Linked DNA regions of Nothobranchius furzeri. The protein of the gene in region 3 interacts with the protein of the main gene of each other region in a pairwise test. Links are inferred from orthologs where the notes say so. Each region holds a gene or a part of one and is shown on either strand. Other genes may lie near its edges. The genes, in order: zbtb8a, creb5b, kifc3, necab2, sox5 and hsbp1b.

Region 1 (4,238 bases), on a different chromosome or scaffold from region 3:
GACTTGGAAAGAATGTGTAAGCTCCTGATGAACCACACGCTTAATAATGCGGGACGACTCCTAGATAATGGCCTGATTTTGTTTCTCGCAGGTGAGGATCTGTGGCGTTGGCAGTCCATGAATCCCACAGGATTCAACAGCACATCTTGATGCAGCTGATTTGTTTCTAAAATGCTGCAAAAAATTTAAAATGATCACTTTTTCAGCATTTTTTTTCCTATAACCCATAAACTTAATCTCAGGCCTTAATATATATTTGCAATCCATTTTCAGTCTGTTTTTGAAATAAACTGCAGCTGAAGAAAATCTTTTCAATGTTTTTGTGCATTAAAATCACAATAATGAAATAATTAATCATAAGTAATCTAAAATGTTGTTTAATTTGGTTTTTAGGTTGTTGTTTTTTTGTTCGTTTTTTGCAGAAGCCAAACTATAGAGTGTATATAAATGGAGATCTGCAGAAATCCGGTGTTAACCTGAGCTCTGGGAACGCTGTGGTGGGTTTTAAAGGGACACTGGGGCTTTAAGTGGCTCCTTGGACCTTCGGGCACCCTGTGCATAAACACCCACGTCAGCACACACAGCTCCAGTCGCTGTGGCCGGGTTTCGGTCTTTAGGGCTGAGCAGGAAGTGCTGGCTGTGGACCCTGGACGCGCGCAGGGTGGGGGGGAGCCGAGCGAAGCGACAGAAAGCACCAGAAAATGGACATGGTGGCAGATTTAGGGGCGAGTCGACTCTACCGGGCGCCGGGTGAATCCAGTCACCAGTGAGTATCGATGGCTTTTCTTTGTGGGGCGTAAGCGGGTCTTGCCGACACCTCTCGCCTGAGATGGAGCCTCTCGGTGCGGGCAGCAGGCTGATCTCGCTGCTCTCCGGACCTCCGGGGAGAAGTGGGGATAAAAAAAACCGGGTGTGCTGCCGCCTCGTTCGTCTAGGCTGATTAAATCAGCGCTGATGTGTTTATTTCAAAGCTCGCCAGCAGCAGGAGGGTCGTGAGGCTGTTTTCTATTGTGTGCTGGCTGAAGCCTGAAGTGGGCGTCGCTCCAGGACAGACGGGGCTGCTCCGGTGCGGCGCTGCCCGCTTTTCTCTCGAAGGACTGCAGCGCTACCGGACTGTTTTCTAGGTCAAACGACTCCTTCAATCGCCGAATTGATCTCCACTAAGATCCCTTCTGGTTTTAAATGCTATTTAATAATAACCGTGGTGCTTCCGGCGGGTGTACCGTGGGTTATTATCGGGCGACGCGGAGCCTGATTCAGATATTTCATATCTAAGCTGCAGAACGGGGAAAGAAAACGAGGCTGCAATATAGCTCGGTGCTGAATAATTTTATTCTTTAAGGAGTCCGGCTGCTGTATTTAATTTCATTTTCTCATCCGGCCAGTCGTGACTAGTTGGACGGCTGGATTTCCCAGCGCGCTTTGAACTCAGCACAGGATTGATTAAAGTGTTTGTCACCCGATGCTCTTCGAGTCGGGCGTTGCACATGAAAAAGATGTTCTGACTGAAGGATTGCTCAGCCAATCACAAATCAGGAAGAAGTTGGGTGGGCGATCAGAACTGGAGGTGTTCCAGTTTAGAGAGACGGTTGTGTCACCCTCAGCTATGCTTAGGTAAGTCCATAGGGTCAGCTGAGTTTGGGAGCGGTTGCTGACTCATCAACACTTGGATCAGTGTGTGAACCACCTTTGTTGTTCGTTTGTTTTAAGGAAACTACATCTCAGAGTGTGTATCTGTTTTCCTCTGCTTGTCCGAGGCCAGCTTTTCTGGGGAAATCCTAAGGTGTTCCCAGGACAGACGGGAAATAAAGTATATTGTGTCCTAGGTCTTTCCTGGTTGAACATATCGTCCAAGAGGCATCCAAACCAGATTCCCACGTTACTTCAATTTGCTCCTCTTGATGTGGAGGAGCAGTGGATCTACCTCAAGCCCCTCCCAGATGACCGAGCTTCCCACCCTGTCTCTAAGTGAGAGCTCAGACGCCCTGCAGATGGAAAACATCAACCCCATTGAACTCTGACTGGCACAATGCCATCCCACAGCAGTGTGTGCCCAAGCTGGTGACCATGTTGTGGCTGTGTCTCCTCCACATGAAACTGAGGCCCCTGTTTGATTTGTTTCCTTATGCTTCAGTCATCAAATCCAAACCACACCAACAAGAGTCGGGAGATTTTGGATGAAACCCACAATCTTAACTCTGTTCAACTTATAAATCTGCTAATGTGGCACCAGGATAAAGATAAAACTGATTTTCCAGCAGTATAATGGTGAAACTTGAAAAATTAGAATATGATGCAAAGTCTATTTCAGTAATCCATCTTAGACTGAGAGACCATCTAAAGGAGAAGAAAATATCATTTCTATAGCGCCTCTCAAGATAGAAATCACGAGGTGCTTCACAAAAACAAAAAATGTAAAAATATAAAGAATTAAGAAAATGTTTAAAATATGTTTAAAATGAGCAAAAAATAGACAAATGTGATTAAAAAATGTAAAGAAAGAGAGAGAGTGAATAGGAAAGAGGGAAATCAGTGGATCCTGAGGAAGGTGGAATAGGTGGGGAGAGCAGAATAAAGAGAGAGTGGTGAAGAAGGTCATCCAAAAGCCAGCTTGAACAAGTGAGTCTTCAGCTGCTTTTTAAAGGAGACCACTGAGTCCACTGATCTCAGGCTCAGGGGGAGAGGTCCAGAGTCTGGGGGCCACAGCAGCATATGTTCTGTCACCTTTGACCTTTAGCCTGGTGCTGCACAACCAGTAGGCTTTGATCACTGGACCTCAGGGACCTGCTGGGGGTGTTTGGACTAAGAAGATCACCAATGTAAGATGGTGCTTGTCCATGTAAGGCTCTATAGACCAGAACCGGGATCTTGAAATGAACCCTGAAGATGACTGGCAGCCAGTGAAGCTGGAGGAGAAGCGGGGTGATGTGGGTGTGTTTGGAGGACCTAGTCAGAAGCCGAGCACAGGCATTCTGAACCACCTGTAGACGGTTCAGGGAGGTTCTGCTCAGACACGTGAAAAGAGAGTTACAGTAGTCTAAGCGTGAGGAGATGAAGGTGTGGAGAACTTTCTCAAGTTCAGAGCGGGACAGAATGGGACTCAGCTTAGCAATGTTCCGGAGATGGAAGAAGGAAGAGCGAACAAGAGAACTGACATGAGAATCCAGGGTGAGAGCTGGGTCAAAGGTCACGCCAAGATTCCTGACAGAAGGTTTGGTGTGGGAAGCAAGCTGACCAAGAGAGTCTCTGACTTTAGGAACCAGCTTGTCTGGGGCACAGATGAGGATCTCAGTCTTATCTTCATTCAGCTGTAGAAAGCTCCCAGCCATCCAGGCTTTGATAGAGTCTAAGCAGGTGTGTAACAGCTGCAGCTTAGACATCTCATGGGGCTTAAAGGAGATGTACAGTTGGATGTCATCTGCATAAAGATGGTAGGAGATTCCTTTGAAGGAGCTCAGGATGTGCTGAAGAGGAAGCAGATAGAGGAGGAAGAGCAGAGGCCCCAGCACAGAACCTTGTGGGACACCATGGGTAAGAGAGGTGGTGGAGGACCTAAACTTGGAGACGGCCACAGAAAAGGAGCGCTCAGAAAGATAAGAGGAGAACCACTCCAGAACAGTTCCTGATTGGCCTACCCAGTCTCTCAGCCTCTCCAGTAGCAGGTGATGGTCAACAGTGTCAAAGGCTGCAGTCAGGTCCAACAGGACCAGAACAGAACAGAACAGTCCCCTGCATCACTGTGAGTCAGAAGGTCATTAGAGACCCTAAGAAGAGCTGTTTCAGTAGAATGAGCTCTACGGAAACCTGACTGGAAGCTATCATAGATGTTCTGTTCATCAAGAGCAGCTGTGAGTTGTTTAGCCACTGTCACATTCTGCTCCTGCCTCCCTGACTGTGTCTCTCCCCTGCCGTTTATTAGTCCCTACTGGTTTCACCTGCCCAGGTGTTCCTGATTTGCCCCTGTGTATTTATACCTCCCTTCTTGTATCAGTCTTGGTCAGATCATTGTTTGTTGTCAGCGTTGTTTTTGTTCTGTCGTTCCCGCTCTGCCATTAAAACTACTTTTATTTCATCCGTGCCTGCATTCCTGCCTCCTGATCTGCTCCACCACACGTGGTCTGCCGTCATCCACACCCTCAACATGACAGCCACAGCCTTTTCCAAGATCTTGGAGATGAACGGAAGTTTAGAGATGGGTCTGAAGCTGCTACGGAGAGAGGGGCCCAGACTCGGTTTTT
Region 2 (3,612 bases), on a different chromosome or scaffold from region 3:
TACGAGACACTTTTCTGGTGAACAGGGTTGGGGTCGGGTATGTTTTCTATCTAAGAGGATCTAAGAACCAAGCTAAATGTGTTTAGAGCTGTAAGGACATTTGGATTAAAAGTTGTGTTTATATATTGAAAATGAATTTAACTCTTAACTAACTGTCCACTGCTTACCTTACAGAACGTTCCTCAACACAACTCTAGCAACTAAATCAGCAAAACCTTTAATCATTTCGCTGGTTTGATGCATCAGAAATTTGCATCTTCGCTGGTGATTGTAGATCAGTGCAGAGCAGCGTGTTCATTCTTGAGAAAACATTTATGACTTAATTTAAATTAGCTAAACGAAACAGGATTAGTACTTCTTACTGTATATTTGTTCTTATACAATCTATTGAGAATACATGTTATGCTTTAGCAAAACTTCGTATATTTTATGTAAAAATGCATTTGAAATATACTTTTTCAAGCTTTTTCAAAGTTACTGTTTCAAGGAAACAACAGTTCATATTTTCTTTTTTATGTTTTCTCTAGTTTTATGAGACTCTGGCCAGAGGGATGAACTCAGACCAGGAAAGGCTGTTTGTGTGTAACGCTCCCGGCTGTTCTCAGGTCAGTGTGGGTACAAACCAAAGCCCGAAACCACCAAGCAGCCAGACTTTCTTGTAATATTTGGTAGTGTTCTTGATCAATAGTTCTCCAGGTTTTTGGAAAGATTTTTATAGACTTTGACGGTTATTTTACTAGTTTTCTGTCCAGTTCTTAGGTTTGATCATGACACTAAGGATGGAGGACAAAATAAGTTTAGATCTAAAATAAACTGTCTGCAGCAGATGAACGATCTGAAAGTTGTATTTTTAATAAATGGAGAAAAGAAATCAATCAAAAAGTTGATCCAGGACGTGAGAAATGCACCATCCTGGTCTTGGCCCTGTGTCGCTACCTTTTTTTAATAAATTCAACAGAAAAATTGGAACAAGTGAAGTCTTTGTGACAGACTGATCTAATTTAAAACTGTATTTTTGTCTAGTTGCTTGTTTAGTGTTGATGCAACAGTGGCTCATGCCTTGAGTTTAGCTTCCCACGCTTGAACGATTCACTGTCAGGATCAAGTGGCTTAAACAAGTAACAGAAAAACAGATCAGTTCGTTTTCAGGCACTGGACTGAAAATAGCTGAAACTAACAGCAAAAGTCCAGATTTATTACTAGAAATTCTGATTCTTCCGAAGCTAAAGCAGGGATGTACCTCAAGACTTTTAGACAGTTTCTTCTCGTTAGTGTAAATAATACTCACACACCTCTTCTTCTTCCAAACCGAACAGCGGTTCCCCACGGAAGACCATCTGATGATCCATCGACACAAACATGAGATGACCCTTAAATTCCCCAGCATAAAGAATGACAACATGTTATCAGGTGAGTTATGACAGCATCAACACTGTTAGAGTCCAGCAGCTTTGCTCGCAGATGTGTGCCAAGGTGACGCATGCACACACATTCTTGTCTGTCATTAGACACCTTTATGGCAAGCTGTTTACAGTAATGTAAATCATATGGTGCGTAGCCTTCAGCTCACTTCCAGTCATTGCATACCAACGGTGCAAACTTCAGCGGAGGCAGATGCACTCACATAGCCGATGCAGACGCGCTCACATAGCCGATGCAGACGCGCTCACATAGCCGATGCAGAAGCGCTTACATAGCCGATGCAGACGCGCTCACATAGCCGATGCAGACGCGCTCACATAGCCGATGCAGACTCGCTCACATAGCCGATGCAGACGCGCTCACATAGCCGATGCAGACGCGCTCACGTAGCCGATGCAGACGCGCTCACATAGCCGATGCAGACGCGCTCACATAGCCGATGCAGAAGCACTCACATAGCTGATGCAGACGCGCTCATGTAGCGGATGCAGACGCGCTCACGTAGCCGATGCAGACACACTCACATAGCGGATGCAGACGCACTCACATAGCCGATGCAGACGCGCTCACATAGCGGATGCAGACGCGCTCACATAGCGGATGCAGACGCGCTCACATAGCGGATGCAGACACACTCACATAGCGGATGCAGACACGCTCACATAGCGGATGCAGACACACTCACATAGCGGATGCAGACACGCTCACATAGCGGATGCAGACGCCCTCACATAGCGGATGCAGACGCACTCACATAGCCGATGCAGACGCGCTCACATAGCGGATGCAGACACGCTCACATAGCGGATGCAGACACGCTCACATAGCGGATGCAGACGCGCTCACATAGCCGATGCAGACGCACTCACATAGCGGATGCAGACGCCCTCACGTAGCGGATGCAGACACACTCACATAGCGGATGCAGACACGCTCACATAGCGGATGCAGACGCGCTCACATAGCGGATGCAGACGCGCTCACTTAGCGGATGCAGACGCACTCACGTAGTGGATGCAGACACGCTCACATAGCGGATGCAGACGCGCTCACATAGCGGATGCAGACGCACTCACGTAGTGGATGCAGACACGCTCACGTAGCGGATGCAGACACGCTCACATAGCGGATGCAGACACGCTCACATAGCCGATGCAGACGCGCTCACATAGCGGATGCAGACGCACTCACATAGCGGATGCAGACTCACTCACATAGCGGATGCAGACGCACTGACATAGCCGATGCAGACGCGCTCACGTAGCGGATGCAGACGCGCTCACGTAGCGGATGCAGACGCACTCACGTAGCGGATGCAGACGCGCTCACGTAGCCGATGCAGACGCACTCACATAGCGGATACAGACGCGCTCACGTAGCGGATGCAGACGCGCTCAAGTAGCCGATGCAGACGCGCTCACATAGCGGATGCAGACGCACTCACGTAGCGGATACAGACGCGCTCACGTAGCCGATGCAGACGCGCTCACATAGCGGATACAGACGCGCTCAAGTAGCCGATACAGACGCGCTCACGTAGCCGATGCAGACGCGCTCACATAGCCGATGCAGACGCACTCACATAGCGGATGCAGACGCACTCACATAGCCGATGCAGACGCGCTCACGTAGCCGATGCAGACGCACTCACATAGCGGATGCAGACGCGCTCACGTAGCGGATACAGACGCGCTCACGTAGCGGATGCAGACACACTCACATAGCGGATGCAGACACGCTCACATAGCGGATGCAGACGCGCTCACATAGCGGATGCAGACGCACTCACGTAGTGGATGCAGACACGCTCACGTAGCGGATGCAGACACGCTCACATAGCGGATGCAGACACGCTCACATAGCCGATGCAGACGCGCTCACATAGCGGATGCAGACGCACTCACATAGCGGATGCAGACTCACTCACATAGCGGATGCAGACACACTCACATAGCCGATGCAGACGCGCTCACGTAGCGGATGCAGACGCGCTCACGTAGCGGATGCAGACGCACTCACGTAGCGGATGCAGACGCGCTCACGTAGCCGATGCAGACGCACTCACATAGCGGATACAGACGCGCTCACGTAGCGGATGCAGACGCGCTCAAGTAGCCGATGCAGACGCGCTCACATAGCGGATGCAGACGCACTCACGTAGCGGATACAGACGCGCTCACGTAGCCGATG
Region 3 (3,612 bases):
TGGACCTGAGACTAGGGACCAGGCATCAGGGACCAGAGACCATGGACCTGAGACTAGGGACCAGGCATCAGAGACCAGACACCATGGACCTGAGACTAGGAACCAGGCATCAGGGAACTGAGACCAGACACCATTGACCCAAGACTAGGAACCAGGCATCATGGACCCGAAACTAGGGACCAGGCATCAGAGACCAGACACCATGGACCTGAGACTAGGGACCAGGCATCAGAGACCAGACACCATGGACCCGAGACTAGGAACCAGGCATCAGGGACCAGAGACCATGGACCTGATACTAGGGACCAGGCATCGGGAACCAGACATTGTAGACGAGAGACCAGATCTAGTAGACCTGTGTTTTGTTCTGACAAGTCATGCACCCTGACTCATGATTAAATTCAAAGGTGAAGTGACCTTTGAACTCTGTCTCTCAGTATGTGCCCCAGACAGAGGCGGACTCTCAGAAAGTTCGGACAGAGATGCAGATGAAGAACGACGTCCTGCAGGAGCAGCTGTCTGTGCAGAAGCAACTGCTGCAGGAGCTCAAGACCCAGCTGCACGAGTCACAGAGGACCTGCACTCAGCTTCGAACCCAGGTAGGTACAGGTGCTGCAGGGAACCGTTTCTGAGAACAAGACTGGACTCTAGATCACCATGGTAACAGAGACTGGACAACTGTCATAATGTATCCTCAGTGTCTGACCCGACTCGGCCTGCCCAGTTAACTCGATTACAAACCAACGAGACCTGTAGGGCTTACTCGGGTCAGACTCCGTTTAGAATTGAGAACTCTAGGAGATGGCATGTGATCCAAAAACCCCAAATACATTTCTATTAAGAGTGTGATTTATAAAGAAATGACTTTGCTTAGAGTTTCAGCAGAGTTTTAGTACGGATCCTGCACAGAGGTTTTTACAAATGAGGCCTCAGATCTCAACCAGGTCTGTCGGGACCAGGTCTGGACCAGTAGTAATCTCAGCCACACAATAAACTCCTCAAATGAAGATGAAGCTCCTGATGAGGATGAGGTTCTGATACACAAACGCTCTGGCTGTTTACTTCAGATCGTGGTCTACAAGGGCGAGATGGAGCGAGCTCAGAGTCAGCTGGAGGTGGAGATGCAGAACCTGGAGGAGGAGAAGAACCGCGTGATTGAGGAGGCGTTCATCAGAGCAGAGAGCGAGATGAAAGCTGTCCATGAGAACCTGGCAGGTGTGTGTGTGTGCGTGTGTGTGTGCGTGTGTGTGTGTGTGTGTGTGTGTGTGTGTGTGTGTGTGTGTGTGTGTGTGCGTGTGTGTGTGTGTGTGTGTGTGTGTGCTCTCCTGACCATGTTGCTGTCTGCAGGGGTCCGTCTGAACCTTTTGACCCTACAGCCAGCTCTCAGGACTCTGACGGTGGACTACAACAGTCTGAAGAAGCAGGCTCAGGACTTCCCTTCCATGCTGGATAAGGCCATCAGAGACGCCAAACAGGAGGTTTGCTGCTTTGTTCTTCTTATCAATGTAGAAAATGTACAGGAAGTGAGCATAGACGGCAGTAGGGCGGTAAACGGTCATCTAGGGAGTAAATAGAATAGAATCACTTCTGTTCCCTAACTAAAGGGCTGCATGGTGGCGCAGTGGTTAGCATTGTTGCCTCGCAGCACGGAGGTCGCAGGTTCGAAACTCGGCTGCGGCCTTTCTGCCTGGAGTTGCATGTTCTCCCCATGCATGTGTGGGTTTCCTCCGGGTACTCCGGTTTCCCCCACAGATCACAACGTGCCCTATAGGCTATAAATTGTAAGTCGCTTTGGATAAAAGCGTCTGCTAAATAAATAAACATAAACATAAAGTCTAAAGTTGTTCTCGACCATAGAGGTTTAGGTTATATTTCAATAGTTTTCCATTAAAAGTTTGTGTTTCTTGGAGAAGCTCCACGTCTGCCCTTTCCTTTTGCAGTTTTGTTGTGTCTTAGGTGTGTTCTCGCTGTGTCGTAGCTCTAATTCCATGCTGTAGTTCTTTTTTAAAACACAGAGCAGTTTTGTTTACCTGTTTTCCCGCTACGTTTCGTTTGCGGCTGCAAACTTCCTCAGGCTGACGCTGATGGTGGCGTCACTTCCTTCTCCGTTTATATGAAATCCCATGCAAACTCTGCAATAGAACATACGTAGGAGAAACCAGACGCCAACTCAACACACAAACAATAGAACACAGAAAGGAGTGCGAGAAAGAAACAAGTCGAAAACACACAAAACAAGAAGCAGAAAGCACAAAAGAGAAGTCAGCCGTAACAGATCACGGCACAAGAGAAAACCATATAATGGACTGGGACAACACAAGGATCATAAACACGGAACAACAGAAATACAAAAGATGGATAAAAGAAGCAATCGAGATAAGGAGACGTGGATGTGGGACCATGAACAGAGACGATGGGGTCGACACATTGGATCGTGTACGGGACTGCATCATCGGAGAGGGGAGAGCGGGCAGCAGAGGGCGACAACGTCCTCTGCTGCCCGCGGATAAACGGAGAAGGAAGTGACGCCACCATCAGCGTCAGCCTGAGGAAGTTTGCAGCCGCAGACGAAACGTAGCGGGAAAACAGGTAACGAAACTGCTCTGTGTTTTAAAAAAGAACTACAGCGTGGAGTTTTGGAGCGACTTCACTCCTTTTTATAGGATTACTGAGGCCGCGTTACCCTTATGGGATGTAATCGTGTAGCATCAATAAAATAACCGCCCCTTTTTACATGAGTAGTGAGTTTTTCATATTTGATTTTAGCTGAAGCTCACACACACACACACACACACACACACACACACACACACTAGTTTACTCCATCTGCTCACCAGAAGATTCTGGTTCTACTTTTTGACCTAAGGTCAGCTGTAACCACGTGTGTGTTTGTCAGATTTGCCAGGTGATCAGTCAGGTGAGCAGCACCAGCCAGGACCTGCTGCAGAAATATAAACGAGAGATGAACCTGAGAAAGAAGATCCACAACGAGCTGGTCCGGCTCAAAGGTCTGAACCAGACCTCCCCACCTGAGGAAACACCTCCACCTGTAACCTGAACCCTAACGTCCACACCTTTTGTCTCACAGGTAACATCAGAGTGTTTTGTCGGGTTCGGCCCGTCAGTCAGGATGAGCAGGACTCTGCCGACTCCAGAACGGTTCTGAGCTTCGACTCTGACGACAGCGATGTTCTCTACATCTCCAACAAGGGCAAAACGATGACGTTTGAGCTGGACAAGGTCTTCCCACCTCAAGCCACACAGGAGGAGGTGAGCAGGATCTCCTGACTTGTGTCTGGGCCCACCTGCTGAGTCAGGGGACCCATGGGTTCTGATCTGTGCAGGTTTAATGTTCTCTGAGCTGAAGGTACAGGTGAGTCACATGAGTCAGAGGTCATTTGGAAGTTTCCGAACACATTATCTAGGTTTTAGCGATGACTCGGTTGATTGGCTCGATTTAGCTGTTGTCCTTATCACAGCTGGCTTCTATCATCCTCACCTGTTGGTCTTCTCTCTGAATGGTCCATTAGGTGTTCCAGGAAGTCCAGTCGTTGGTCACTTCCTGCATTGACGGATATAACGTCTGTATCTTTGCCTACGGACAGACGGGCT
Region 4 (3,612 bases), on a different chromosome or scaffold from region 3:
TCCCCATTTCCTGTATTAGCCTCTGAAAGAAGCCGCTCAAATCTACGTCACATTGTAAAATTTACATTTATGGAGTCAGCCATCTTTGCTCATGACCGGGTAAGGCTGCTAGCAGAGAGTCCATCTCTGCTAGCAGAAGCTAATTGTTAGCATTAGCAACCCCACCACACAGCAGAACTCCTTTAGGCTGGTGTTAATCAATGTTGAATTTTTTTACTCTAGAAAAAAGGACGAATGCAGCGTCCCTGGTATCCTGGCAGGCCATGTGAGTTTATAGTCTGGCCACGACCCATAAACCGACTCAGCCAAGGGGCGGGATCTACAGTCGTCTTTCAAACGGTCTCCACGTGCTATTGGACAACAAACAGCGTGAAGTACTCACCGCTACAGGTGTCAGTCAATGGAGCAGTCCGTCATACGCTGTACAAGAAGACTCAAATACATCTTTTATATTTTTACTTTTTTATAAAGGACCTCCGTACCTCTATCTGCTCTGGGCCCAACTAAATAATCCAAAGTTGATGCCAAAGCCATCTCAAATGAGCTGTCGCCATCAGTTGTTTTGCTCAATCGCATGATCCCGCCCACCAAACCGATAAAGCGCTGTGATTGGCCCACTAAACTACCGAGGCTCCTGTGGAGCCGGGCTAGACCGAAGAGCAGAATCGTGGTGTGGTCTGTCCAGATATTTGCTCTACGTTCCAGGAGGATCTGGCAGGACTTGTCATTTCTAACCCAGGAAATAGTTGTTCCCTAACCCTAACCATGATTTATTTCTAACCCTACCAATGCAGAGGACACTGTATTAGCTAAGAAACAAATTCTTGAGTCTAGATGATAAAATGTGTAATTTTTTCTCATCATGCAGCCCTAAATTAAAAGCTCTAATCCAGAATTAAAGCCCTTCTGATATTGTTTCATAATCTACCTAGAGCTTCTGAAGTGAACATGAGCTGGGCACAAACTGGGATGGACTTCCTCATGAAAGAGTTGCTAGATATTTAAAATCCAGGAGGCGTGAAGAATTCTGCATTGACGAATCGCTAGAATAATAAAACCTAGCGCTGACTGATGGTGTCCACGCCACGGTGGACTCTGAAGATGGATTTCTGCTAAAACAGGTTTTCAAATAGTTCTAAAGCAGTTTTTCTAAGCAAGAGTTGACTCTGCTTAGCCTGATTACCTTGGACGCTTCTTCATTCGCAGCTTTCTTTTTTCTAATTTAGCTAATGCTGTTTTGAAAGGACCCCCAGCGTCACCACAGTCTAATGCACACGGCTGGTAAAAGTTTCCGGATGTGACGAGGCCTGCTGTGCTCTGTTCTGATTGGATGCTGACTGAGCAGAGGAGGGGTTTCCCTCGTTTATTGCGGTAGATGCGTTCCAGACCTGGCCGCGATAGGTGAAAATCCGCCATGTAGGGACACCATATTTAAAGTATTTATTTAACAGGTATGTATTCAGTATTCAGACTTTTAAAACCCTCCCTTTACATAGTACTGTATTTTTACTTGGTTTTTTTATAGTTTTATTACAAATAGTGCATTTTATGATGAAATGATGGAAAAAAACTGGAATGTCTTGATATTTCGCATAGAAAAATACCGCGAATCAGCGAATTTCCCTTGAATAAGGCTCCAAAGAAAAAATCCGCGAAGTCGTGAATCCGCGATAAACGAACCGTGAAGTAGCGAGGGATCACTGTATTCATAAATAATTAAGAAGTTGCAGAGAGGTCATCAGAGTTGATGCTCGGGCTTCTTTGATGTCTATTTTGAAAATTTAATGGGACTTTACGGACTTTTGAATTTTTATGCTCGCGATTGCCCCCTCAGGCCAAAAGTGTAATGGCAGCTTCAATAGTAGGCTCGTGTGCGAGGCGCGCATGCTGTACGTGCACACTCCTTAACGAAAATAACAGCTGAGACAGTCCCGTGTGTGGGTGTGTGGGGTGGGGGGTGGGGGTGGGTGTTGCCCGGAGGACAGAGGACAGGAGAACGCACAGCTAATTAATTAAATAATGTGGTTCTGTACCTTTCTCTTCAGCACAGCCGACAAAGGTTTAAGATGGGTCAGTCCTCCTGCATGCTCAGATCATTCCCTTCCCTTGCTTGAAAAATTGTTCCAAAATGAAAGTTGAACCCACATCTTTTTTATCTGTGAATTCAATGCCGTTCAGCGAGTCTCAAATAAAAATTTGGGCGTCTTACTGTAAAAAAATATACCATTAATGTAAAAAATAAACTCTAAATAAACTATGTTCACATCCAGAATCAAACCCAGGTCTTCCGCACGAGAGTTCAACGTCTTACTTGGTGAGCTAAAGCTCCAGTGATGTCTTTTGTATCTGTAACATTTATATCCTTGATGACAGCTGAAACAACGACAAACCAAAGAACGGTTCGGAGTGAAAATGGCTATTTTGTTGCTAATTTGCAGGAAATATCTAGAAGAAAGTTCTACAGAAAGTAGCTAAGGATCCTCAGAAATGTAGCTAGCTTTGTCACTAGGCGTTAGGAACAGCGACAAAGTGGCACTGCCTCTCTCTCTGCTGCTAAAGCTACGGATAGCAAATGCTACGGGCGATGCCTGAGCGTGAACGCGCATGAAGCAGCCTGCTCGACCCGAGCATCTCTCTTTTTCTGTGATTTTACAGAAAAACAGGCAATCACAGTAAAAATGCCAGGGCTCATTCTACAGGACCAGGGCATTGCAGGAGAATGTATGAAGAAGACATTTATTATTTCTATACATGTTTTAGCTGTCACACTTCCATAATGTCCCTTTAAACACTCACTTGTCTCTAAACCTTCTAAATAGTTATTTTAAGGTTCCTCAGAACCACGTTTAACCGTCTCCATGAAATGCAGATCTACGACGCTCCTTTTTGTTCATGTGAGCCGCTCTTGTTCTCTTGTTAGGGGTGTGAGTGATGCTGACAGCAGACGACCGCATCGATTCTTGGCCTGTTTCCCACAAAGCTGTTGCGTTGAATTGGAGGAGGTTGCTAACGTATCAGCCTTGCCTCGTGGTAATCCTTAATAAAAACTGAAAGAATACAGAGGATCCTTTCTGCCGACTGAAGCGCGTCTCCACAGGCGGCGACTTAACTCGACGCCAAAAGGTTTTTTAAGGCTCAACAAGCAGAAACTCATGGAGAAGTCGTCCATCCAAATTTCAATGAAAGCAAAGTGAATCATTGCAGCACAAAGGTTACAGTAAAGCCCTGTGGTTAAATGAATCACTCTGTTGCTCTGAAGACACTTTTTCTTATTTTTAAATGTTGAAAAATTTCCTTTTTTTCCAGGTTTATGAAAGGGGAACCAACGTGGAGCAGTTTGTGACGCGTTTTCTTCTGAAGGAATCTGCCAATCAGATCCAGTCCCTGCTGAGCTCCGTGGAAAGTGCTGTGGACGCGATCGACGAGCAACACGGCCAGTTGGGGTGAGCCGGCGAGGCTATCGCTAGCTGCCACGTGTGAGATGGGGAAGTGTGTGTGTGCGTGTGTGTGTGTGTGTTTGCATCACTTTCGTAGCATAATGTGTAAAACTCTGATTGTCAGCGGCTGTAATGGAAACCAGGCTGTGTCTCAGGCTCACTTCCTCTCTGGTTA
Region 5 (4,377 bases), on a different chromosome or scaffold from region 3:
CTTTAGGCGTTTTAGTTTTCTACAGCTATTTTTAACAAGCGTATGTTTAAAACTTTGCTGCTCTCCTCTTTCTCCTTCCTGTTGAAAACCCAACGACAGGCGCACAAAGCATGCTGGGAAAGCCTTGTCTGGTGAAGACACACCAGACCCATCCTTGAATTTTGGTAGAAGCGAGGACGCATTTGAGGATGCGTGAATGAGTATCCTTTAAATTCAGACAGTACTCGTCGCTGCGCTGTGACCTCATCGACTTGAAAATGCATTCTCACAAGCATCCTACCCCTGGATTTGGACACAGCTTTACACCCGCTCTCGTGTATTACATGATTATGTGTTACAAAGTCACCAATATGTTTCAACAATTGGCCATCATTTAAGTCATTTTCAACAACATTTTGATGGATAATTCCAGAGATTATTCTTAAAAACGACACATTGTCTCTATCAAATGGAACAATGTAAGGGTTACCGTTTTTTCCGGACTATAAGCTGCTACTTTTTTCCCACGCTTTGAACCACGCGGCTTATAATGAGGTGCGGCTTTAGTCAACCAGAAAGGATGGATGCTGGAAAGTAATAAAGGAATGGTTAAAGGAGTGCTACGGAAAGCGCCCAGGAGGATTTTTTTCACAGTAAAACGGCGCTGCTTGTTTTCCCAGCTTCACCCCGGGATGATGACAGCAACACGGAGAGCGACACTGACATCGCCACAGAAAAGGTATGTGACGAAGCTCTTCTGATGCTGTTCAACTCCAACACAGAAGAAGAAGACTTCAGTGGTTTCAGTGCGCAGGAGGATGATGAATAAACTAATCAATAACTTTTTTGTTTGATACTGATCAGTTCAGTTACGTTCAGTTAAACTACGTTTTCAATTCAGTAGATATCTGCGGCATTTAGCCCGGTGCGGCTTATATTGAGGTGCGCTCTATAGTCCGGAAATTACGGTAATTTTAATTTAGCAACACGTAATGTTTTTTATTTTAATATATCATTATATAAACATATGAAAGAGTAAAAAAAAAAACTTTTTTTTGAGTGACCACATCGCGTGACTGAATTAGGCTCAGGAATGATTCCTGATCATTGCACATAACAGCTTTGACATTTTTATATAAACTAGTTTGGAAATAATGAAAAAGTTGTCTGAATCTTTTATAAAGGAGGAAAATTATTTCTGAAATTAAATAATTCTTTTCATGTTGCATAATGAAGTGTGTGTGCGTGCGTACGTGCATGTGCGTGCGTGCGTGTGTGTGTGGAGAGAGAGAGAGAGAGAGAGAGAGAGAGAGAGAGAGAGAGAGAGAGAGAGAGAGAGAGAGAGAGAGAGGAAAAAAGGAGCGACTTGAGGAAGTGGACAGCACTGATGAACTCTGGTCAAGAAGCCCCTCCTCTTCCCTTGTACACACACTCTCTTACTGAACACAGAGAGAAAGAGAGAGGTGGGGGAGTAGGAGAGGGGAGGAGAGGGGGCTCCGCCGCCGCTGGCCCTTTAAGAGCTGAGCCCGGCTCTCACAGCATACAGTGAGGGAGGGAGAATAGGAGGGACGGAGGCAGAGAGAAAGACAGAGAGGGAGGGTGTAAGCTTGGAAGTGTGTGAGTAAAGAGAGAGAGGGACACACACACGCGCACCAAGAGAGAGAGAAACAGCAGTGTGTGTGAGCGAGAGGTTGAAGGATCACTTCAATCCGGTCTTGTTTTGGGAGACTAACCTTGTTCATCTGAGCATTGTTGGACTGTTTTATGTTGTTGTTGTCGAGAGAGACGGACCCTTACTCCAGCATGCTCACTGAGCCTGAGCTACCTCAGGAGTGTAACAGGTATGTGACGCTTTCCCTCTCTCTCTCACTCACACACACACACACACACACACACACACACACACACACACACACGCGCGCATGCACGCACACACAAACAAACACACACAAAAACAAACATGCAAACACACAGAAAGATGACAGAAGACAAAACAGAAACACAGAAAGGATGAAGAAGTAAAAATGTGTGAAGCAGTCAGGCGAGTTAACTTTGAGTGTGTGTGTGTGTGTGTGTGTGTGTGTGTGTGTGTGTGTGTGTGTGTGTGTGTGTGTGTGTGTGTGTGTGTGTGTGTGTGTGTGTGTGTGTGTGCGCGCAAGTGTGTGCATGCGTGTGTGTGTGTGTGTTTGAGAGAGACAAAAATAGAGTTGATGATTCACTTCAGAGCAGATCAAGTAATATACAGTGTGTGACAGAAACCCTCCCTCCGTCTCTCCTCCTGCTCCTCTCTGTTTGTCCTGACAAAAAGTTGTGTTCATAAAAAGTTGTGTTCATTCAAATCATTACTTCCAAAGAGTGCTGGTGCATGTGTGTATAACAGAGAGATGTGTGCGTGTGATCATCTCTCATCATCTCCTTTTCACGCCATCACTTTATTTACTTCTGCACCCCGTCAGCGTTCAGCTGCAGGAGAAGAAAACTCTAATGAATCTGAACAGACATCTAAAATCAGCTGAATTTGAAATGTTGGGTTCTGTATTTATTTAAAACATTCTTTTCGTTTTAATCCAAATTCAATAAAAGCCCCTGGGTAATCCCTCTCTGGACTTGTTGTTGTTTTCGTGCCTTATGCTAATATTAATCTGACGGTGTTTGTGCAGGCCTGCTTCGTTTAGAGGTGTGAACCCTCTAACCCTGCACTGTCAACACAAGTGGCTTTCAGAATAAAGGCTGTTTGATCCTAACGCAGCGAGAGGCAGATTATGTTCTAATATTGTTTCATTCAAACTCACACATTAAAGTAGCTCTCTGAGTTTGGGCTTTTGCGTCTCACGCCCTTTGTTCTGAGGTAAGCTAACTTCATTGGGGTGATTTAAAAAATGTGTTTTTATTAAACTGCAAAGTGTTTGGGGGGGGGGTGATAACAACAGCTTGGAGGAATTAAAAATTTAAGGGATTACACCAAAAAGCAGAATGTATGGAGATAAATGCAGGGATTACAATGACTTAGGAGGAGAGTGCTTAAAATTCTTGCTTTCCAGTAATGCACTCCATCACTACGGCCGTGTGTGTGTGTGGGGGGGTGTGTGGGGGGGGGGGGGGGGGTCCCTTGGTGGTGCGCGAGTCACCAGAGTGTACTCCAGCCCCAGAGGTTTGCGATGATGCTCTCGGTTCCTGCGCTACTGTAAGTGTCCGCTCGCCTGCTTCACACCACGCTGCCTCCTTCACTTCCTTCTCTTTTACTTTTCTTTTTCTTTTGTTCCTTTTTCTTCTTCTAAAATTAACCACTGACTCGTTTTTTTATTTAAACTAGTTTGTAGAGACGGGTGGTAAAGCATGTTTGAAAAGCTGCTTTTTTATAGTTGAGATAAGACAGAATTTTGGTTTTACAATTATTCATTTTCAACTTTAAAAGTCTTGGGATTTTTTTTTAAATGTCATATTATACGTTGTTTTATTTGCTTCTAATATTCTGTGATTTAAACATTTTGTATTCATACTCCAAACACTCTTTTCCTCACGCTCGGCTTCTCCAAATGCATGTTTGAACTTAAAGGCAAGAAGGGAAATTAGTGAAACCAAACATCGGCTTATTTATTTGCACAAACAGATTAAAAATAAATAAATAACAAAATTGGAGCGAGCCAAAGCAATCAAAATGCAGATGGAACAAAAAATTTAGAGATTTCAGGGAGTTGGAGGATGGAGAGATGAACGGAGAGAAGCAGTGTGGTCAAACTGACACATTCCTCACCAGCAGACAGAAGAAGCAGGTTTACAGACCAGTGAGAGTGCCAGAGATGGGGGGGGGGGGGGGGGGGTCTGTCTGTGTGGTGTAAAGGTGGTGGTGGATTTTCACACCCCTCCATTTGTCCCCTGTGTGTGTGTGTGTGTGTGTGTGTGTGTGTGTGTGTGTGTGTGTGTGTGTGTGTGTGGAGAAAGACAAAAATCAGTCTTTTTAGAGTTGAACTTTAAGTTTTAAAGTTTGTTTGTTGTTTTTCAAACTTTTGATAAAAGTTCTATATTCAACGTTTACTTTAGAAAAATTAACCAAAACATGTTTGCATGTGTAATACTTGATTTAATGCAACAACATCCTGTGCAGCTTCTCTTACTTGATGAAGAACGGCGTGACTCGTGTGCAAACCTTCCTCCTGTTTTCTCGCTGGATTTTATTTTGGAGTCCCGGATTCTGGAGTGAAAGGTTTGCAGCAGCAGAAAACAACTTGTTTCCAGTCTGAGCGCCGCGCTGCGCAGCTCCCGGTGTCAGAGTCGCAGTCCATTTAAAGGGGTGAGATTAAAGTGTGTGTGTTGGGGGGAGAAATACAAAATGTGTGTGTGTGTGTGAATGAGAGGGGAGTAGAGTAATTGAGCAGAATGTCCGTGCTCTGCAAACTA
Region 6 (4,048 bases), on a different chromosome or scaffold from region 3:
GGTTAGAATACCACAGTTAGCAGATAGTGTCTTAATGCAGCCAGGCCAGCGTTTCCTCCTAACGGGCTTCTGACTGATATACAAGCATTAGCTTTTACCATCCAGGCCCACTACATACACCGACTTAAGCAGGTTCATACAGGAACATAAAACACCTCCAGTAACATGCTGCAGTGTCCACTATGACCCACACATTCAGAGCGAACAGCTAGCTGAGTGTGTGGAGTTTAGAGAGGTGCCGGTGTTGTTTGTTCCATCTGTTGAGAAACCAACTCATCAAAGCTAGGAGGTACAGCCCATGAACTCACCACTGTGCTGTTTCACTGATGTTCCAGTCAGCTAGTGGACTAATTACACAGCAGCAGCTGTAGAGATGCTTTTGCCATCAGAGCACAAACAACAAGCTCTCTGTTCATATTATAAGAAAACTTTAAACATCATTTTGGTGTGCAGTGCAGAAAATGTGATGAACACATGATTAGCCAACAAATGCTGGAGCTGATGGAGCAAACCCATCCTTTAATAATATCTATTAAACACCTGGTTCATCTGCAAGTTTATAAATGCAAACGTTTTATTTATTTATTTTTTAATTCAACATGTTTTCAGCACGTGAAATAGTCTCTCATGGTTGGACGTTTAAACTCACACACACCAGATGCTGAGTGGCACACAGGAGAACAAGTTCAGGTTATGTAAGCAAATAGTTTCATGGGGCAGGGCCAACTTTAACAACACCCGCAACATCAACATAGGGCTACTGGGTTGGAGTTACTGCGCGCACACAAATATATATATATATAAACATGGAATGTGTGCTCTTTTATGCTGAATTCATAATTAAATCCAAAAAGTATTAATAAATAACAACACGTCCCTACTAAACTGGTAGTTTGCAAAGCGCTACTTGATACCCGCGGATCTGATTCGCTCTCTGGAATTATGATGTCGCGACATTCCTAAACATCCTCTGCTGCTGCTTTACTTACCAGGCGCCTTCATTCACGTCCCGTCAGTGTGAAACAAACTTATTTATGTACAAGGCTCCACTCTCACGCAGTCTGGGCGTGAAAACACACGGAAACTCTTGGCAGCTCCAAGTTTCAAATCCAAACTTGCTGAAAACGGAGGAAGACGTGCGCGCTCGGCCGTGCGCATGCACGCGCTCGCGCGGACATGAACATGTTTTCTTATGAAAGGCTACAACCTACAGTATGTAAGTATGTACAGTCTATGGCTACAACCGATTCATGTAATGGACAATTAGAGCCTACACTCATAAAGAAGCGCGTCTCTTGGCAAGCTGAGCATGAACTACACAAGTACCGTGCATGTTTTCCCATCAGAACTCCATCTTCCACACGGCCCAGCACCACTCAACTCTCGCGAGACTTGTCTTTGTTGTGGGAACAGCTGACTGCAGAAGATTCTACCGAGTGTTAGTCTGTTCTGAGCGGTCCAATAGTAAAACGGTGATTTATAGCTGATTTATTGTATTGTGAAGGCACGGATTAACATTCACAACATGGCTGAGACGGATCCCAAGACGGTGCAGGACCTTACAAATGTGGTGAGTCGTGACCGTGATGCAAGCTAGTGCTACTAGCTACTGCTAGCTTGCATTGCTAGTAAGATTGCTCAAGTGTATTTGGGTATTCACATAATCACGCTTACTTGTGTAAATATTCCAGTTTAACACGTCTGTTGATCAAATGTTGCATTAGCTAAACTGTCCTGACATTTAGCTTAATCAGTCACAACAAACCGCTTTAGCATTCGTTACTGTAGGATGCATTATTACATCAGTAAGATTTATTGAACAATTAAGACATGTTTTCAATTGTTCTCTTTCAAATGTGATATTAAACAGCACATTTGCGCGTTACGTAATCATTTAGTGTCTCACAAAGACATCTTGGCCAATGTTTCAGTGTTTCCATGGAGATGAGCATTCGTGAGAGGCGTTTAAGAGCTGAATGACCCCTCACAGCTAGCTGCCTTTTGAGATGACCAGAGTCCTAACTGCGAATGTGTGGGTGTTTTCTCTGTCCACCACACATCCTCTAAGAATGAATTAAAAGCAGATCTCCATGGTTACCAATCTTTTCCTCCGTTGGCATGGGGACACAGCTGATGGATTTTCGCCTCTTTTAGATATCGTTCATAGATCACAGGCTTTGTTTTCAATTCCCAGATACCGGTAATTAAAATGTCACGACTGTTTCACATCCTAAGAAACTAATCAACTATACATTTGACTATTTTGATGTGTATTATATCAGCGTCATCATTTCTTGATTAACACCTTGTTTCTTCTACAGGTTCAGACACTGCTGCAGCAGATGCAGGACAAGTTTCAGACCATGTCAGACCAGATAATTGGAAGGAATATCCTAACAATTTTAATGAACAGAGCATTGTCATTCAAATCTACTAAATACTTTTCCTTTTAATCACATACTAACGGATTTCACCCAGGAAAGTGTTAGTTTTCTGGTTTTCCTTAACCAAATCTCTACTTGATGAGATGAGCACGCGTATTGATGACCTAGAGAAGAACATCGCTGACCTGATGACTCAGGCCGGCGTTGAAGAGATTGAGGCAACGCCGGAAAAGGCTAAAGAGGGTCAGGGATCGTAATGAAGGTAAAAAGTGAAATGGTATACCAAGGCTGGAGGGCCACCGTCCAGCATGTTTTAGTGGTTTCCTTCTTCGACAGACTTAATAGTTGTATTACCCGTTTATGTTGTGGCAAGGTGGAGAAACATGGACCTGGGCGGGATTCGATCCGCAGACTCCCGGGTGAGAGTCACATGTGCTAACCAGTCAGCCAAAGGGACATCCCCATGGCCAAGTAGCCAGGGACAGGATGTTCACCCTGTCACAATGCCATCAAAGTCTGTAGAAGCTTGTTATTCATCCACTGATCAAATGCAGGCGTGTGAAAGCTGAGAAACCTTTAAAGTTTGCAGGATGGTGGCCCTTGAGGACCAGGATTGGGGAGCACTGCTTTAGGACGTCATATTTGAATTTCTAGTTAGTACATTTTAAATTGCACGCCAGTTATGAATGCTTTTTTCTGTCTTACAGGTTTCTTAACCACGCGGTGTGAAGTCGGTCCAGTGTGTCTGGAGGCAGCAGGCTTCACTAAAACTTACTTATGACTTATGTTAGATGTTTTTATATACTGAATATTGTGAGATGGTTACGGTAATGTTAAAGCTAAAGGTTGAGCATCATTTGCAAGGTAGAATAGTTTGATATGTCTTTCTGATCTTCAGGTGGAAGAAAGCAGTTTCTAGAGGTTCTTTAGCTGCCAGCGTTTAATGTGTCAGTCCCCGTATGTGATGGTGCAGCTGGATCCATGTCGGTAAAGCTCGTCTGAGGAGCAAACCCCACTGGCTGCCAGGCCGCAGCATGGATACGACATACTGAACGGGCTGCCGTGTTTGACCACCAGCCCTGTTGCTCCAGATGTGCTAAATGCATTCCACGTCTGATCTATTAAAGCTATCTCTATACTGCAGTTTGCAATCCATTTCAGTGGTTTGATTAGTTTCTGAATAACTAAAGTTAACGCTAGGGTGCTTGTTTTATACGTTATAAGCCAGAACTGTGCTGTACATTATTCACAGTACTATGCAAAAGTCTTGAGCCACCTATTTAAGTATGTAGGCCTTTACATTTCTTCTTAATCTTTGTATGCAAACTTCAGATTTGATGGTTTAGGCTTGAAAAAGCAGTTACACCTGATCACCCAGGGTTGCCCACTTTTTGCCACATTTTACCTCCATCCCATTTGCTTTTTTACTCTATTTTGAGGACATCCGGCACCTAAAACTGAGATTTTCTATTTTCATTAGTGAATGAATTAATGTTAGGATAATTATTCTGCAACGCGTCTAATATTGTAAGAGTCCAGCTTCATAAAAGGACTGTCTGGCTTAAGACTTATGCACAATACTCCATCTGGAATATGTGAATGTTGCATGCTCCAACTTCTTCATGCATTAAATAACATTTTGTTGTTGGGAGAAACTGGTCGTT

The links.
Region 1: the proteins of kifc3 (region 3) and zbtb8a interact in binary tests that used the Homo sapiens proteins (3 or more experiments, as listed by UniProt). The two-hybrid records come from large-scale screens. The link is inferred for Nothobranchius furzeri from reciprocal best matches to the Homo sapiens genes KIFC3 and ZBTB8A.
Region 2: the proteins of kifc3 (region 3) and creb5b interact in binary tests that used the Homo sapiens proteins (3 or more experiments, as listed by UniProt). The two-hybrid records come from large-scale screens. The link is inferred for Nothobranchius furzeri from reciprocal best matches to the Homo sapiens genes KIFC3 and CREB5.
Region 4: the proteins of kifc3 (region 3) and necab2 interact in binary tests that used the Homo sapiens proteins (3 or more experiments, as listed by UniProt). The two-hybrid records come from large-scale screens. The link is inferred for Nothobranchius furzeri from reciprocal best matches to the Homo sapiens genes KIFC3 and NECAB2.
Region 5: the proteins of kifc3 (region 3) and sox5 interact in binary tests that used the Homo sapiens proteins (3 or more experiments, as listed by UniProt). The two-hybrid records come from large-scale screens. The link is inferred for Nothobranchius furzeri from reciprocal best matches to the Homo sapiens genes KIFC3 and SOX5.
Region 6: the proteins of kifc3 (region 3) and hsbp1b interact in binary tests that used the Homo sapiens proteins (3 or more experiments, as listed by UniProt). The two-hybrid records come from large-scale screens. The link is inferred for Nothobranchius furzeri from reciprocal best matches to the Homo sapiens genes KIFC3 and HSBP1.

The regions. Positions count from the first base shown.
Region 1 is NC_091758.1:35,826,800-35,831,037, reverse strand, and holds the start of zbtb8a (zinc finger and BTB domain-containing protein 8A), read left to right. Parts: upstream 1-1,328; 5' UTR 1,329-1,462; coding exon 1,463-1,614; intron 1,615-4,238. Other genes in the region: gale (UDP-glucose 4-epimerase), read left to right, coding at 1-16, 92-150. UniProt on the Homo sapiens protein: May be involved in transcriptional regulation.
Region 2 is NC_091745.1:35,742,088-35,745,699, forward strand, and holds part of creb5b (cyclic AMP-responsive element-binding protein 5), read left to right. Parts: intron 1-527; coding exon 528-605; intron 606-1,316; coding exon 1,317-1,410; intron 1,411-3,612. UniProt on the Homo sapiens protein: Binds to the cAMP response element and activates transcription.
Region 3 is NC_091749.1:65,941,261-65,944,872, forward strand, and holds part of kifc3 (kinesin-like protein KIFC3), read left to right. Parts: intron 1-437; coding exon 438-599; intron 600-1,067; coding exon 1,068-1,215; intron 1,216-1,347; coding exon 1,348-1,478; intron 1,479-2,896; coding exon 2,897-3,008; intron 3,009-3,088; coding exon 3,089-3,270; intron 3,271-3,530; coding exon 3,531-3,612. UniProt on the Homo sapiens protein: Minus-end microtubule-dependent motor protein. Involved in apically targeted transport. Required for zonula adherens maintenance.
Region 4 is NC_091744.1:83,414,471-83,418,082, reverse strand, and holds part of necab2 (N-terminal EF-hand calcium-binding protein 2), read left to right. Parts: intron 1-3,306; coding exon 3,307-3,443; intron 3,444-3,612. UniProt on the Homo sapiens protein: May act as a signaling scaffold protein that senses intracellular calcium.
Region 5 is NC_091741.1:56,411,116-56,415,492, reverse strand, and holds the start of sox5 (transcription factor SOX-5), read left to right. Parts: upstream 1-1,547; 5' UTR 1,548-1,743; coding exon 1,744-1,820; intron 1,821-3,140; coding exon of another isoform or gene 3,141-3,163; intron 3,164-4,377.
Region 6 is NC_091744.1:87,756,922-87,760,969, reverse strand, and holds hsbp1b (heat shock factor-binding protein 1b), read left to right. Parts: upstream 1-1,431; 5' UTR 1,432-1,525; coding exon 1,526-1,570; intron 1,571-2,321; coding exon 2,322-2,388; intron 2,389-2,519; coding exon 2,520-2,641; 3' UTR 2,642-2,646; intron 2,647-3,091; 3' UTR 3,092-3,527; downstream 3,528-4,048. UniProt on the Homo sapiens protein: Negative regulator of the heat shock response. Negatively affects HSF1 DNA-binding activity. May have a role in the suppression of the activation of the stress response during the aging process.